Linked DNA regions of Pelodiscus sinensis. The protein of the gene in region 2 interacts with the protein of the main gene of each other region in a pairwise test. Links are inferred from orthologs where the notes say so. Each region holds a gene or a part of one and is shown on either strand. Other genes may lie near its edges.

What was found.
Region 1: the proteins of AMOT (region 2) and PTPA interact in binary tests that used the Homo sapiens proteins (3 or more experiments, as listed by UniProt). The two-hybrid records come from large-scale screens. The link is inferred for Pelodiscus sinensis from reciprocal best matches to the Homo sapiens genes AMOT and PTPA.

The regions. Positions count from the first base shown.
Region 1 is NC_134732.1:12,143,450-12,151,194, reverse strand, and holds the start of PTPA (serine/threonine-protein phosphatase 2A activator), read right to left. Parts: upstream 3,014-7,745; 5' UTR 2,916-3,013; coding exon 2,891-2,915; intron 1-2,890. UniProt on the Homo sapiens protein: PPIases accelerate the folding of proteins. It catalyzes the cis-trans isomerization of proline imidic peptide bonds in oligopeptides. Acts as a regulatory subunit for serine/threonine-protein phosphatase 2A (PP2A).
Region 2 is NC_134723.1:26,614,397-26,622,076, reverse strand, and holds the start of AMOT (angiomotin), read right to left. Parts: upstream 3,005-7,680; 5' UTR 2,854-3,004; intron 1-2,853.

The DNA of each region.
Region 1 (7,745 bases), on a different chromosome or scaffold from region 2:
AGGTGGCACTCTTCTCTCAGTACTGTGCCACTGTCCCTAGGTTGGATTTAGGGTAAGGCTGGGAAGTACCATCTTTTAACTGTGGGACAGAATTGAGGCTCTTTGTAAAGCACTTTGAGATCCTGGGATGGCAGGCACAATATAAATGCAAATAATTCATGCATAACATCAGCAACATTCCTGCTTCCCCACTCGGGTACACACTTAGCCAGAAGCCTCTTTTCGGTGAGCTTTCACAAAAAGAAAATAAATCCCAATATAAGGGTCACTCCTTTCCCAAGTCCTCTGCAGTCCAAGGTGAACAACTGGTTCTAGTCTCAGCCTGCAGTCCCATGCGAGGACACTGCAGAGCTGGAAACACTGCCACAAGGTTAAAGGCACATTTGCACTATGTTTCCATAAGCAAGCTTAAAATCAAGATGCAATACAGCAAACAACCATGAACCAGAAAACCAAGAGGATATTTAGCATGAAATATCCTCAATTAATACTTTCAGCCCTAGAAGATTTCAAATCTTTTGTCCAACATCAAGCACTGAGACAACACTGTCTTCAATAAAAATTCTTAGCACTAACAGCAAATTCTAAAACATCACTTTCTAACAAAAGCTTAACATTTATAATGACTTGCCCAGATAATACTGCCCAAAAGTGTTCTCAGTTCTTCCTTTTTTTCCAGGAAGGGCGCACTCTCTAGAATCACACCAGATGACTAGGAATCAAAACTATTCCATTCCAAGCTCTGCCACAGCTTCAGTGTGCTGCCTTAGGAAAGTCATTTAACTTCTCTGTCCCTTAATTTCCCCCTGCATGTTAGAGTGCATGTGGAATTTTATTTGTATCCAGAAATATTGCATTAGTGTAAAAGTTTTTTTTTAAATGCTTTAAAATCAATGATAATAAACAGAAAGTTCAATGAACCCCCCAGTACACTGATGAAGGAAAGCTTTGGCTACCAAGAATATTGATCACCCGTAAGAGGGCAGAGGAAGATTCAGAGACAGTGCGGTCTGGGGATAAGCCACTAGACAGGGACTCAGGAGGCCCAAGCTATGATCCCAGTTCTGCCATTACTGAGCAAATCACTTTCTCTTTCTGTGCTCCCTAACCCCCCTCCAACACACCTCTTATTTAGAAAGCAAGGCCTCTGGGGCAAAGACTGTCTCTTGCTAGCTGTAGTATTGCACCTAGCACAAAATGAGCTACCGTAATATACACACAACAACTTTTAGGCAAGAGCGAAGGAACAGTGCTCTGGGGAGAATTAACAACAGCAGCAGCAAAAGGACCGAAATCTATCCCTAGAATAGCAGCTGCCCAAGGCAACAGCAGGTGACAGACAGGTCCAAGGTGCCAACTACAACTTCAGTAAACCACCTTTCCCTCACATCCCCTCTGCTGCCCCCAAGAAGCACAGCCACCATTGACTATTACAGTGTTTCTCAACATTTTTACATAAAGTACCCTTTAAAAATTATAAGTACCTCCAGTACCTACAGTTTTCAGACACCATTTTTTTTCTACCATTGCAACACATTTGTTTAAACAACTTAATAATAGCCAGGCAGGCAATGGAATTTTTGGGTGTAAAAAATACAAAAATAATAAAGCGCTATAAAACTTAAAACAAAAATTCAGTTTTCTCCAAATTTCAGTTGTGTTGATGTACCACTAAGGGTACTCGTACCACTGGTTGAGAAACACTGGACTATTATGTCCTTAATGACCCTGCTACCAGCTACTCCTTCCCGTACAAGTCTTCACAAATCTAGTCTTTAAAATGCTACCAGACTATTTGTTGTTTTTTAAGTTTTTTCATATTCAAAATATTAATACACAGAAACCCATTGGGGAACATTTTAACTTGCCTGGGCACTCACGAATGGATCTAGAAGTGACTATTACAAAACCATTTCAAAAACCAGATTGAGAAAGAAGCTACAGAACTTGGTTTAATGTATAAGTCTGACACCTGGAAACAAGGTCTAAAAAAAGACCTGGACTGGATGGGCCACTACATTCCACACCCTAATGACATCAAAAGCTAAGCACCAGGTACTTAGAGCCTACTCTATTAGCCTCATACAGCATAGTCACTAATTGACAATATTTTCCCCCCCATTTTCCCCTCTCTCTTTCCCTCCCCATCCCCACTCTCTCTCTGCTATTTATTTGTACCCTGGACCCCTTAACTCCATTCCTCTGAAGAAGTGGGTTGTGCCCACAAAAGCTCATTATACCATCTACATTTTTGGTTAGTCTCTAAGGTGCTGCAGGACTATCCATTGTTTTTTAAGTCTTCACCAGTGAGCCAGGGGAGAATAACTGCCCCCATGACTAGCATCAATCTTTCTGGGGCTCTCAGTCTAGGCCATCACAGAGAGGGACACTGCAACCTGCTCCCCCACACCCTGAGACTCCAAAGCACAGTAACCGTTCCTCAAGAGCCCATTCCTACTTAAAAGCAGGGAACCCTATATTACAGACTCCCCCCCCTTCACCTTTCCCATCTCAGGGCACAGACTCTTGAGGGCCCAGGACCTCCCCGCAATTTTGGTGCACAGAGACTATCAGCCCGCACAGTGCACATTGCTCAAATGCCCCTTCCCCTCACAGTACAGGGGAAAGGACCCCCGTGCAGAAAGCATCATGCAGCCTTCCCCCACACATTCCATGGGACACAGAGACACCCAGTCCCCATAGAGAGCATCACTCAGCCTCACCCCCCAACAAACACAACCTATGGGGCACAGAGATCTCCTGCCCCCACAGAGGGAACCACCCAGCCTCTCCCGCTCTGGGCACCACACAACCCCACCCACTATGGGGCACCCTTGCCCAGTGCAGCACCACGCTGCTGCCCCCGCCCCCTGCGGAGCTTCCCCCCTACCCGTCTGCCGCTCGCTCTCTGCCATCTTCCTGGAACCAGCCCCCTCCCCGCCGTTATCACCTTTAACCTCTTAGCACAACTGACGCGTCGATCGGCCATACTTGTGCCGGGCACGGCGGCCATATTGCACGGGGCACACAAGCAGTCGTAGTAATTCCGTCGGCCATGTTTGTGCGGGGCGCTCCGGATTCCACACACATATACCCAGGCGGCCATGTTTGTGCGGGGCGCTCCGGATTCCACACACAGGCGGCCATGTTTGTGCGGGGCACTCGCATTCATTAAGGAACTTTTGGGGCTTGACTTAATGTCAGGCGCCAGGGAAGTAGATAGCCCTGCAGAACACAACTCACTAGCTAGGAGACTCCCCCACCTGCCTCTGAGGTGCGATGGGCTATGGCACATCTGGCACCCCCAAAATCAGGAGATGTGTGTGCTTCAGAACCAGAGCACACTTCAGACTCTGGAGTCTCTGACATCTGGAGTTGTGACATGTGGGAATCCAAACGCAGCTCCGGATTCCCATTTCAAGGGCAGCCTCTTTTCTGTTATGCTGAAAAAAGCTACATTCTTGTAGCTTACACGATTTCAAAGTCAAGCAGCCCAAAGTCACAAACTCCAGAATTAAGGTTCTGCCTGCTTGCACGCTTGCGTTACACTACAGCAGCAGTTCTCAAACTGTGGATACGGACCCCCAAGTGGGTTGCCATTCCATTTTAAGGTGATCATCAAGGCTGACAAACTTGCTGGGGCCCGGGTCTGAAGCCCAAACTGCACCTCTCGGGGCCAAAGCCTGAGAGCTTCCACCTTTGGTGGTGGGGCTCATGTTCCAGGCCCCTTGGGCTTCAGCTTTGACCACCCTGTCCGAAGCAGTAGGGCTCTGACTTTGCCCACACACTTGCCTAAGGCAGTGGGACTCAGGCTCAGGCATCAATTTCCCTCCTGAGATCATGAAGTAATTTTTGGTGTCAGATGGGGGTCATGGTGCAATGAAGTTTGAGAACACCTGAACTATAGTCTTTCATTACAGGAACACTTCATATTGTTTCCACTGGATCCTTGCCAAATAATTATCGATGGGGACTAAAAAAGGTATTTTTCCCCCAAACTCAGTCTCAGAAATGGCGTGGTCATTTTTGCTGAAACTTTCCCAAAATATTCAGCGTGTGTCAGACACCCAACACTGGACATTTCAGCTCAAATAGTTGAAGTTTGTCATGGTTATAAGCAAGTGAAAACTATCTTATAATGGAAATTGTAAAGTAATCTGAACTATAGATGCCACTACTAGTTCTGCATATGATAAACCAAAACTCCAGTTCCAAATGCTCTCCAAGACCTAATCCCTGCTTTGGCCCATAATTTAGCAGATAGCTTCCCTCTTTATAAAAGGAGGGAGAAAGGAAGAGAAAAAGACATCTCTAAACTGTGGGAGGTCTGGAAATCCAGACACAGGTTCAACTACTTCATCTTCATCCCCTCTCTTGTTAATTCAGTGTTGAGCACTGTCAGTGTTGTATGGGATCAAAAGGCAGAGATTGTTCTTGCTACAAGTCACTAGAAGTCAGCATCAGACACTGTGATGTAACCCAGGGCTGTGGATCTCATCTCCCTGTAGCATGCATATTTTCCCTTACCATTTTTATTGGTGTACTATTCTTGAAATATGTCCTAGAAGGATATCTGCTTTAAGGAGGGATTCCTAGGAGAGGAAGAACATTTGGCACTGAGAAAGAGACTGTCCCAAGCATAAGTTATAGCACAGAGAAAAATGCATAGATAAGAGTGGGATAATGCTGGATGGAGCACAGTCTACAGGCCCAGGGGCTAATCTGGTGCTAGGCATAAACAGACTAAGCTATTGCTTAGGGCCCTGTGCAGCTCCAAGGGGGCCTCTATTAATTATTAGTTTGTGTTTTGTGTGGTGCCCCCCAAATATTTCTGGTTAGGACCCCCCCAATGGGTTAACACTGCTGGGGAGAGGGGAAATAGGAAGGAACAGAAAACAGAAATAATAGTTAAAGAGTAGCATTGTGCAGAGTTGTGAAGAAGAAGAAGAAGAAGAAGAAGAAGAAGAAGAAGAAGAGATTAGTTTAATGTAGGAGAAAGTCAGGGAAGGGATCTGAACAGCTTGGGTGGGCTGAGGGGAAAGGTTATATATAGCAGTGGTGGGAAACCTGCAGCCCTATTGCCGCATGCAACCCACTGGGGTTTCACCTGTGGCCTGTGCACCCCCCAGACTGCTCCCATACTCCACATGCATCTCACGGGAACCCTATTGGGCTGCAAGCCCACCACTAGTTATGTGGCCCACTAGTCCACGAAGGTTGCCCATCACTGATACATTGGCTTTAAAGAATTAAATGTTTGTCAGTAGATGTCAGCAAACATTTATTTCACTGCATGCACGCACATGCACACGCACACAAACCAACCAACAAAAACATTCCCATGAATAATAACTAAAATGCACAATATGCAAAGTAAGAAAAACAGTTTGAGAACTTGGATTCAAAATCCATTGATTTTTTAAATTAGACTTTTGAATTAAACAAATAGTCTCGGAAATGAATAGTAAAAACAGATATGATTTGTTGATTTAAAGATATTTACTTTGTGGATTTTGACACATGATGTGCACAGAGTGCTTTCATGTTTACAAAGCTTTAACTTTTGGAATTTCATTGTCTAATAGTTGTCTAATTCCCCCTTTAATTTCCCACAACAGTATGAATTCCGATACACATCTAAAGAAATGTTTAAAAATAAACACAGGGATCAAAACTTATAAAACATAGAAGTGGAAACCTGCCAAGCCTAGTTGTAAGGTCAGAGTGGCAAGATAAGCAGGTGATTTTACCAACAGCAGTTCGGTTGGAGTGGAGTAGAGTGACCATGTGTGACTGCTACCACCTGGCCAAAACACTGAAGAGCTAAAAGCATGAACTGCTATAGACTGAATGAAAGACTAAACTTTTCAGCTCATCAGCAGGGGCTGTCATATCTTCACTTAATACACATTCCTCTCTCTGCAGGCACAAGTCCTAGTTCAGAAGCCATTCCTTCTGCTGATCTCTGCTCCCTCCTAACTCCTGAGATCAGGAACTGAGAAAGGGAGGAGATGACTGCACTAGTTTAGACCAGGGATCAGCTGTCATCAGAGAGCTATGCAGAGCAGAGCCCTGCCCCTCACAAAGATGGTCGCGCCTCTGCTTATTGGTCATTGCAGAGGAGGGCTGTGCCCCACACAAAGATGGCTGCTCTGCTGCGCCCTCCCCCAGCGGCTGCTGAGCCAGGGACGGCCGTGCGGACTTGTTACGCTGTAGCTGGGTTGCTGCTGCTGAAGTTACACTGTAGCTAACTGTCTCTGTGTCTCGCAAGGCCGGGGCTGCTGAGTTGACAGGACTTTGCTCACTCGGGGGCAGTGGTTAGTAGCCGGGGTGGTGCACACGCAGGGCTATGCTGGCCTTCATAGCAAGGAGCATGGTAAGTAACAGCTGATCACTGCTTGCTTTGCAGGCTGGGTTAACGTTGGGGGGAGGGCAGGGGGAGCTTTCTCAGCTTTGAACAACCTTGGGACAGTGCATGGCCTTAACAACCCATGCATGGCCTTATCCAGGAGTGTCTGATGTGGTCTCCTGAGAATGAAACCAGGGGGCTTCCAGAGGCTACGAGACACATGCAGAATTGAGAGTAACCTGAAAAGTTTGTTGTTTTTTATTTTTATGTTTTGTTTTTGTTTTGGAGATTTGAAGGGGGCATTAAGAGAAATGTCCTTCCCTGACTTAATACAGGATGGGAAAGAGGAGGGTGGAGAAGATCTAGCTTGTCTCTGTACAGCTATGGTGTGATTTTTCTTGTATGACGTGCAAGTGTTTTGTAAGAAAGATCATTAAAAAGCAGAGAGCGACGGGAAGATTACTGCTAGGTGGAAGTTTGCAAAGGACGGGAGTTTCCTCGAGATGTATAGTAACTTCATTAAAGGGAGGGAGGTTTGGCCAGTCGCCAGGATCAGTCTTCAATTATGACAGTCAGTGAAAAGCTGTAAGTATTGTTCAATTTGTTCATTTTTTTTTCTTTTTGAAATTTTTTCCCCTTGTGTCTTTTACCAGCAAAACACTTCTTGGGTCTTCCCTGGGCTGGGAGTGACCTTTGTCACTTGCAGAAGTTGATTATGTTCCTTCTGTCAACTCACACTTCTGCCAAGAGCTAAGTTACTAAACTGATTAATTCTTTCACCTGGGCGCTGCCTCTTGGTTTCCTTTTTTTTTTTTTTTTTTTTTTATCTGATTAAGAAAATATTCACATATTCCAGGAGTGCCTTTACTAAATCTCTTTCCACACTAGTTGTCTGCTGTTGAAACAAAGTTGAAATTAATACTGTTACAAGCCATAGTTGATAGAGCTGAGGAGAATGCAGAGTTGTGGATTGTTTTTTTTAACCTGTGGAAAGAATTCCCTTTTCTCCACATCACAGCTGTGCTGCCTGTCCTGTGACTTGAAGGTTCTGTGACTTTTACTTTTTCTTTAAAAGTATCTATTAGGGATGTGAATGGTTAACCAGTAAGCATCACCTGGATGGAGGCTCACCTGGTGGGCATAGACTGCCTCCATTCCTCAGGTGGAAAGGAGAGACTGTGAGCTGCTGCTTGCTCCTCTGTTCTAGATTTATCCACTGGAATCTCAATACATGCCTGGTAGTTACCGGCACTAAAATGAACAAGTAAGGGCTGCTTGGGGTAATATCCAGATGAGATGCTCGGATTTTTTGTTTGCGTTGGTGTGATATTTTCATAATTGCTTTTTCTTTTTCACTGCAATCCACCCATGCCTTTTTTTCCTTCTAATAAAATGG
Region 2 (7,680 bases):
GCGCTGGTCAGCAAAGCCTCAGAAGCGCGGGAACCCGCCCAGTGTCCCTGGTCTGCTGGAGACGGTCTCCAGCAGACCAGGGGCACCGGAGCAGCTTACGAACGGGGCTTTCTCGCCCGGAGCTCGCAGGTAGCAATCTGCCACCTCAATCTCCGGGGCGAGAAAGCCCCGTTCGTAAGTGCGGATCTGACGTAAGTCAGATCCGCGTAAGTCGGGGACTGCCTGTACTGGAGGTATGGAATTTTATTTGAGGGGTGTGGAAATTGTGGTTATATGAACTAGCTTTTTGTGGTTTGCCACTGCTGCTTTCATTATTGGATTGTTTTCTTAATTATCTGTTCAGAGCCTGCAACAGGCATTCTTAATACTTGTTCTTTAAAGCACTTCGAGATCTATTGATGAAAAGTGCTAGTAAAATCTAGGTATTACCATTTATTATTATATATTGGAATAAAAATAAAATTAAAACAGACGCTTTCCTTCCCCAAAAAAGTCATATCTCTTGTTTCTCTCATACCATTTTGGGACTGAAATTAGGATCTTTGTTAAGAGTAAACCGATTTTTTGTGTGTGAAATCTCAGAGGGGTAGCCCTGTTAGTCTGTATCTGCAAAAACAATGAGGAGTCCTGTAGCATCTTAAAGACTAACAAATTTATTTGTGTAGAAGCTAGGGATGTAATAGTACCATAATTTAAACTGATAAGCCTAGGCTTATCAGTTACCGTTAACGGTTACATGCAGGTTCTCCGCCCCATTCCTGGGGAGCTGGTTGCCACCCTGTGCTGCTCGCTCTGTATCAGAGCCTGCAATGCAGGATGGCAGCAGGCCAGCTGGCAGGAGCCAGTATGCACTGGGAGCCGGCTTAAAAGCCAGTATGCCCAGGGAGCCGGCTGCATTTTAAAGCTTATACTGCAAAGTCTGCAGCGCTGCCAGCTCCCCAGGAGTGGGGCCAGCCAGCTCTGCTCCCAAGGAGCCAGTTGTGCTTTGGGGCTCTGCAGTATAAGCTTTACACTGCAGAGCCTGCAGTGTAATCATGTAACTGCTGAGAATTTTCAGTGGTTACATGGTTACCTAATTAACCACTTTTTAACATCCATAGCATAAGCTTTCTTGGTTAAAAAAACGCTTTGTCAGATGTGTATTTATGTGAAGTGACACAGAGGAAGTTTAAACCCCGCACTTTGGTCTCTGCTCTGATCCCTTTGAGATATGTAAGCCATGCAGCTGAGGATTCCTCCAATATAGGAAGCTGCAGGAGAAAGGAGCATTACTGAGAGACTTGTGCAGCAGGCATTATCCACTAGTAGAACAGATCCTAGGAAGCTACTGCTGTGGGAACTATGGGCTGCTCCAACTGATGTTAAGGGTCTATCTGTTCCTGGCTGTGCCCAACATAGAAAGTTTAAACCCACCTTCAGTCCACTTTATGAGCTATGCTTCCACAGAACCCAAGATCTAGCTCTTAATGCTCACTTAAATTAATGGGATTTATTCCCTCCCTGTGCTTGGATTACAAGGTCAGGCTTATAGTGGATATTTAATAGGTTTAACAGAGACAGACTCCCAACCTTTATATTCTCCTGATTTGCCATCACCTCAGTGCCTGGCCTCCAAGATCACTAGGCCCAGACCCTGCCCATGGCTGCAGTGATTAGCAGGATCCCTACACTTGTTAAAAAACAGAAATAAATTTGTGGAGCTACATGTGATTTGCAGGAAGTGGCAGAATACTAGACCTACTGCCTCTGCTGGGATTATTGCAGACTGAGTGAAAAGCTTGTCCTCGCAACACATCCCAGACAAGGGATATGGATTCACTTACTCTCTTCCAAATTTAATGAGGCCATAGCGGACAGGGAAAGGGAGCAAAATCTTTATGCAGATGCTACAGGTTTGGAGCTGTGGATCCAGGTAGAACAGGACAGTCCCTCACTTTGGTGATGGGGAAGGGGGCTCTCTCTGGGCCATAAAGTAAGCTGGAGGTGGGGTCCTTTCCTCTATCCGATCGATGCCCCCACTCCTCTTGTATTAGTACACACAGATACTAATGAATGCCGCAGCCTCCCCCCCCTCCCCGATCATAAAAGGAATCTGTGGTAGAGCCAAGAACTAAACATAGGTCTCCAAGCGCCCCAGCCACAAAAACACACCCCACAGCTCCTTTCTCTGGTGTGTAAAAGGAGAGGAGGGGAAGAGAGGGGAGACATCCCGTCTCTCAATGGGGGGTGGGGGGGGAGACAGCTCCTTTGGAGCCATACAGAGAGTGCAGAGGAGTGAATGAAGCCAGCCTGCACCTCTCTCAGTACTTTGGCTCCGGTGCAGATGGGGGGCAGAAGGGGAGGGCAGCCCCCTCCGTCAACTGCGGGGAGTCAGTGGACTCTGGGGAAGGAGCAGAGGGGGGACGAGATGGGCAGCAGGGTAAAGCCAGCCCCCCCCCCCCTTCTTGGCTCCGGTGGGGGAGGGGGGATCCCGCAGGTTTTGTTTCTCCCGGTTGCCGAGTGGAGGGAGCTAGAGCCACAAATCCGTCTCCGCAAACGTCCTGGAGAGTAAAGCCCCGCGGCAGGGCGAAGCGGCGCAACCAGCCCGCCCCTGCCCTTTGTTAGTGGCTACAAAGCAGTTCAAAGGGCAGCGGCGGAGAAGCTCCTGCGGCGCCTTTTCCTTCCCGGCGCTGCTGAGCCGCTCCCTGCAGAACGCCCTGTGCCCGGCACACAAGCCGCGCTGCCTCCCGGCAGCCACAGCCCCGGGGCGGAGCTCGCCTGCACCGGCAGCCGCGGGACTGCGCAAGGTGCCCTCGTGTGCCGGGTAGATCATCCCCCCCACGCACCCTGGGGGGCAGTGCCCCATGTGCTTACCCCGTGGGCACCTGCCCCAGCAGCCGCCCACTCATCCATCTTGCGCCGCTCCCCCTAGAGGTGACCAAGGCGGCACGACAATGAGACACACCGAGGAGCTCTGGGAACTGCCTGACGCCGCTTCGGGGATTAACTTTCACTAGGCTGCTCCAACTACAATTCCCAGCATGCCCCGCTGTGGGAACCCGCTGCAACGTCTTCTGGGAAGTGTAGTTCTCTCACCATGGCACCCACCCCCCGAAAGGTCCCCAGGGAAGACGAGATTCCGCTGCTGCATTCAGGGTTCTCAGCCCAGATCCCAATGCGTTGTGAGCCCTATTTAAAATAACCACCCCTGCCATAGTCTTTTCTCTAGACAAAAAGCAACCTTTTGCTTGAGTGACTGATGTTAGGCTAAGGCAGAGGGTGTCCAATTCACTCTTGGCTGCTCATAGTGTTGTTTTAGGCATTACTTACACACACCCTCTCTCTCCCTCTGACCATAAAAGCTCTTCCCCCGATTTTATTCAATTTGAGGAAAGCTACAACTTCAGAAGGTTGAAATTTGCACTTAGTAGATTGCACATGAAATCTAAATGCTTATATTTTACATTTGAGATTGTGGAATCCAATTTGGCCTGTGGGAGAAAAGAAACTAGAAATAGCTTTTTAAACAAACATTTTAATCTTAATTATTCATGCAGGTCAGAATAAGCTATGTAGATGTTTGCAGGTATGGCTTCAGCTATCATTCATGTTTTGTAGGTAGCTGCACTCCACAGTCCTGTCTCATCCATCTAGCTCTACTGACAACACAACACAGCACAGCACAGCAGATGCTGTGCCATTCTTGTTATGTCTCTAGACTGTGGTGGAGCAATAAAAAAATTCTCTTTATGTAGCAGTTTTCTCAGTATTTCTCCAGTAAAAGGTCAGTATGTGCCCATCAAGTACTACCAACATTTTTTTTCCATCATCAGCACCATAAAAATTGCTCAGAAGCAAATGTGATTAAGGGCAGCATCCATACACAGTGATTTCTGTTGTTGCCTGATTATGAAATTTGCTACTTATATTTAAAAAGTTTCAGTTTCAAAATCACTTATCTGAATTAGTGTAGCTTTAAACCCATAAAACTCACTGCCCCTAAATGATTCCAAGCCTCACTGTGTTCACAATACAGGCAGTCGCCGAGTTACGTGGATCCGACTTATGTCGGATCCGCACTTACGAACGGGGCTCTCTCGCCCCAGAGCTCGCAGGCAGTGGGACTGCCCAGAGCGCAGCGGTCCCGCCACCTCGACCTCCGGGGCGAGAAAAGCTGCTCCGGGTGCCCCTGGTCTGCTGGGGACCATCTCCAGCAGACCAGGGACACCGGGAGCAAAGCTGGGGAGGCGGAGGGGTCCCGCGCCTCTGAGGCTTTGCTCTGGCAAAGCCTCAGAGGCACGAGACTCCACTGCCGCTGCCGCTTTGCTCCCGGTGCCTCTGGTCTGCTGGGGACCGTCTCCAGCAGACCAGAGACACCTGGAGCAAAGCCGGGGAGGCAGACCCACCGCCCCTGCGGCTTTGCTCCCCGTGTCCCTGGTCTGCTGGGGGGGGCGCAGCTAGTGGTCCCCCTCCCCCCTCCAGCAGACCAGGAAGACGTGGAGCAAAGCCCCAGGCCTGTGGTAGAGCAGGTGGGGCGCTGCCGGTTGGTCCCGCAGCACCGCTCCTTGGTGCTACTGGACCAACCCAGTAGCACCCCAGCTGCTCTGCCCCAGGCGTCCCCAAGTCAGCCGCTGCTGAAACTGACCAGTGGCTGACTACAGGAAGCCCCTGCCCCGGGCTTCCTGGAATCAGCCGCTAATCAGTTTCAGCAGCAGCTAACTTGGGGATGCCTGGGGTTCTTAAGTTGAATCTGTATGTAAGTCAGAACTGGCGTCCAGATTCAGCCGCTGTTGAAACTGATCAGTTTCAGCAGCGGCTGAATCTGGACGCCAGTTCCGACTTACATACAGATTCAACTTAAGAACAAACCTACAGTCCCTATCTGGTACGTAACCCGGGGACTACCTGTAGTAATAGAAATTTAGCCATGTAAGTCTGGTGTAGCTGAAGCAAAATGCAGGACTATGTAGCACTTTAAAGACTAACAAGATGGTTTATTAGATGATGAGCTTTCGTGGGCCAGACCCACTTCCTCAGATCAAATAGTGGAAGAAAATAGTCACAACCATATATACCAAAGGATACAATTAAAAAAAATGTAATGGTAGCTCACAGACATCTAACTTTCCCCACCTCTAATATCATTAATTCACAGACACTTACCTTCCTTCCTTCGCCCCCCCCCCCCCCCACACATCCCTCTTCTGTTCTGAAATGAGATTTGTCCTTTTCATATGTGTTCATTTTTTTTAATTGTATCCTTTGGTATATATGGTTGTGACTATTTTCTTCCACTATTTGATCTGAGGAAGTGGGTCTGGCTCACGAAAGCTCATCATCTAATAAACCATCTTGTTAATCTTTAAAGTGCTACATAGTCCTGCATTTTGTGTTCACAATGTGATTTGAGAACTCTCTCTTTACATATGCCATCCTGACAGGGCCAAAGATACAGTAAAAAAGAACATTGCAAAATGAGCATACAGGAGATCCCCATACTAATTGAATTAGTAGGCAGCATAGTTCTCAGCCATTTAAAATTTCATGCTACCCTTAAATTTGTTTTAGCACCTAGAAACCACTGTGATGAAATACTTTATAAATATCTTGATAGATGACGTCAATGGCTTTTTCTTATACACTGCTGTATTTGCATTTTTTTTACATAAACCTGGCATAGTTTTAAATGATAATCTTCTTTAATATTCTGCTTTTATGTTTTAATTATATTTGCTTAGAATTTGGTTGGGAGTGATAAATCAAAAACATTACAGGTTCTCACTGATACACAGCTTGTGGTTTGTGGGCCACATATGGCCCATCAGGTTTCTACGTGTGGCCCATGACACACTTTGTTTATTGTTGCAGAGTTGCCAGATTCTGTTGGCTTCCATCCATGTAATTTTCCTCCTACCAGTATTACTAAAGTGACAGGCACATAAAGCAAAGGCACATGAAGTGAGGTGGTATACTAACTGCACAAAATATTGACTGAGTGCCATGTACTCCCTCTGCAATCCAGTCAAAGTGCTGCTATTGTTCAACTGGCATACTTTACAAATTCTAGGTACACGAGCAGAGTTAGCAAAACTACCCCATCCTGAAAGACAGTCTTGGTTACAACAATCTTGCTGCTCATTCAGATGGAGGGCCACTCATGCAGCTTACTCACTGTCTTAGTTTTCCCATCACTGGGTTAACTACACATTATATTAGTCATAAATCAACATAGTGGAAATGTGGTTCTACAATACAGAAATCAGAAGGTGATGAGGGAAAATAGTATAGAATAAGATATTTAGTAAGTGAAGAGTAACAAAAAATATAGAAGCAAGGAAGAACTGTCAATTGTTAACACGTAACCTGCATATTTAAATTTCTATGGCACCTGTATGTAAACTAGACCAGCAGCCATTTCCTGAGTCACAACTGATTCAGCATGTCTGAGACCCTCTTCCCCTTGGAGGCATTATTTTTGATCTTCCTTGTTTTATTTCTCTTAGTCAAGGGTTTCGCAAACTTAGTCATAATCCAGACCATATTTTAACAAAGAATTCCTCACTGGTGGCACCCTTTTCACATACAAGCACGTGATGTTCTTGTGGGACCTACTGCAGTTACTTGCATGAAATAGTGGTGTTACAGGAAAATTAAGGCTGTTGTCTTTCAAGTGGATCTAGTAGTTAGAAAAGAGTAGACTGGGGGAAGGCAGAGGCTTAGTTTTACAGGTGCTCAAAAAGCAACACGCTTTGGGTGACCTGACTAATTTGCATGTGTGAATCATGGTTACAACCCACTTGGAAACATATTTTTTGTCTATATGCACAAGTGTCAGAGTATAGTGTGTTAGACCCACATACCTATACTTTAAAAATGTTTTGTTCGCACTGCCTTTACCTCAGTCTTGTTTCAGATTACTGCAATAGGGCCTACATTGTGACTAACCCATTAAGAGGCCAAAAGGAATCAGTAGAAAGAGGCTAACTGGATGTTGGGACAAATGTAAATCTGCAGCATGCAAAAGGCATATACACAACACAGGCCTCACATTTCACTGAGACATGGTATGTCCCAAAAGACACCGCATACGCCACCTCCTTTCTGCCCTGTATTTTCCTTCTGTTGGAAGTCTGGGTATTTTAGAAACACATCCCTAAATGTCCCCTTCGGGGAAGCTGCTAGTGTTAAGAATCTCCACAGCAGCTACATCCTATTACATAAGGGTATGTCTACACTACCCTGCTAGTTCGAACTAGCGGGGTAATGTAGGCATACCGCAATTGCAAATGAAGCCCGGGATTTGAATTTCCTGGGCTTCATTTGCATAAGCGGGCGCCGCCATTTTTAAATCCCCGCTCGTTCGAACCCCGTGCCGCGCAGCTACACGCGGCACGAACTAGGTAGTTCGAACTAGGCTTCCTAGTTCGAACTACCGTTACTCCTCATTCCACGAGGAGTAACGGTAGTTCGAACTAGGAAGCCTAGTTTGAACTACCTCGTTCGTGCCGCGTGTTGCTGCGCGGCACGGGGTTCGAACGAGCGGGGATTTAAAAATGGCGGCGCCCGCTTATGCAAATGAAGCCCAGGAAATTCAAATCCCGGGCTTCATTTGCAATTGCGGTATGCCTACATTACCCCGCTAGTTCGAACTAGCGGGGTAGTGTAGACATACCCTAACATATTTAGACCAAAACCAGGCAG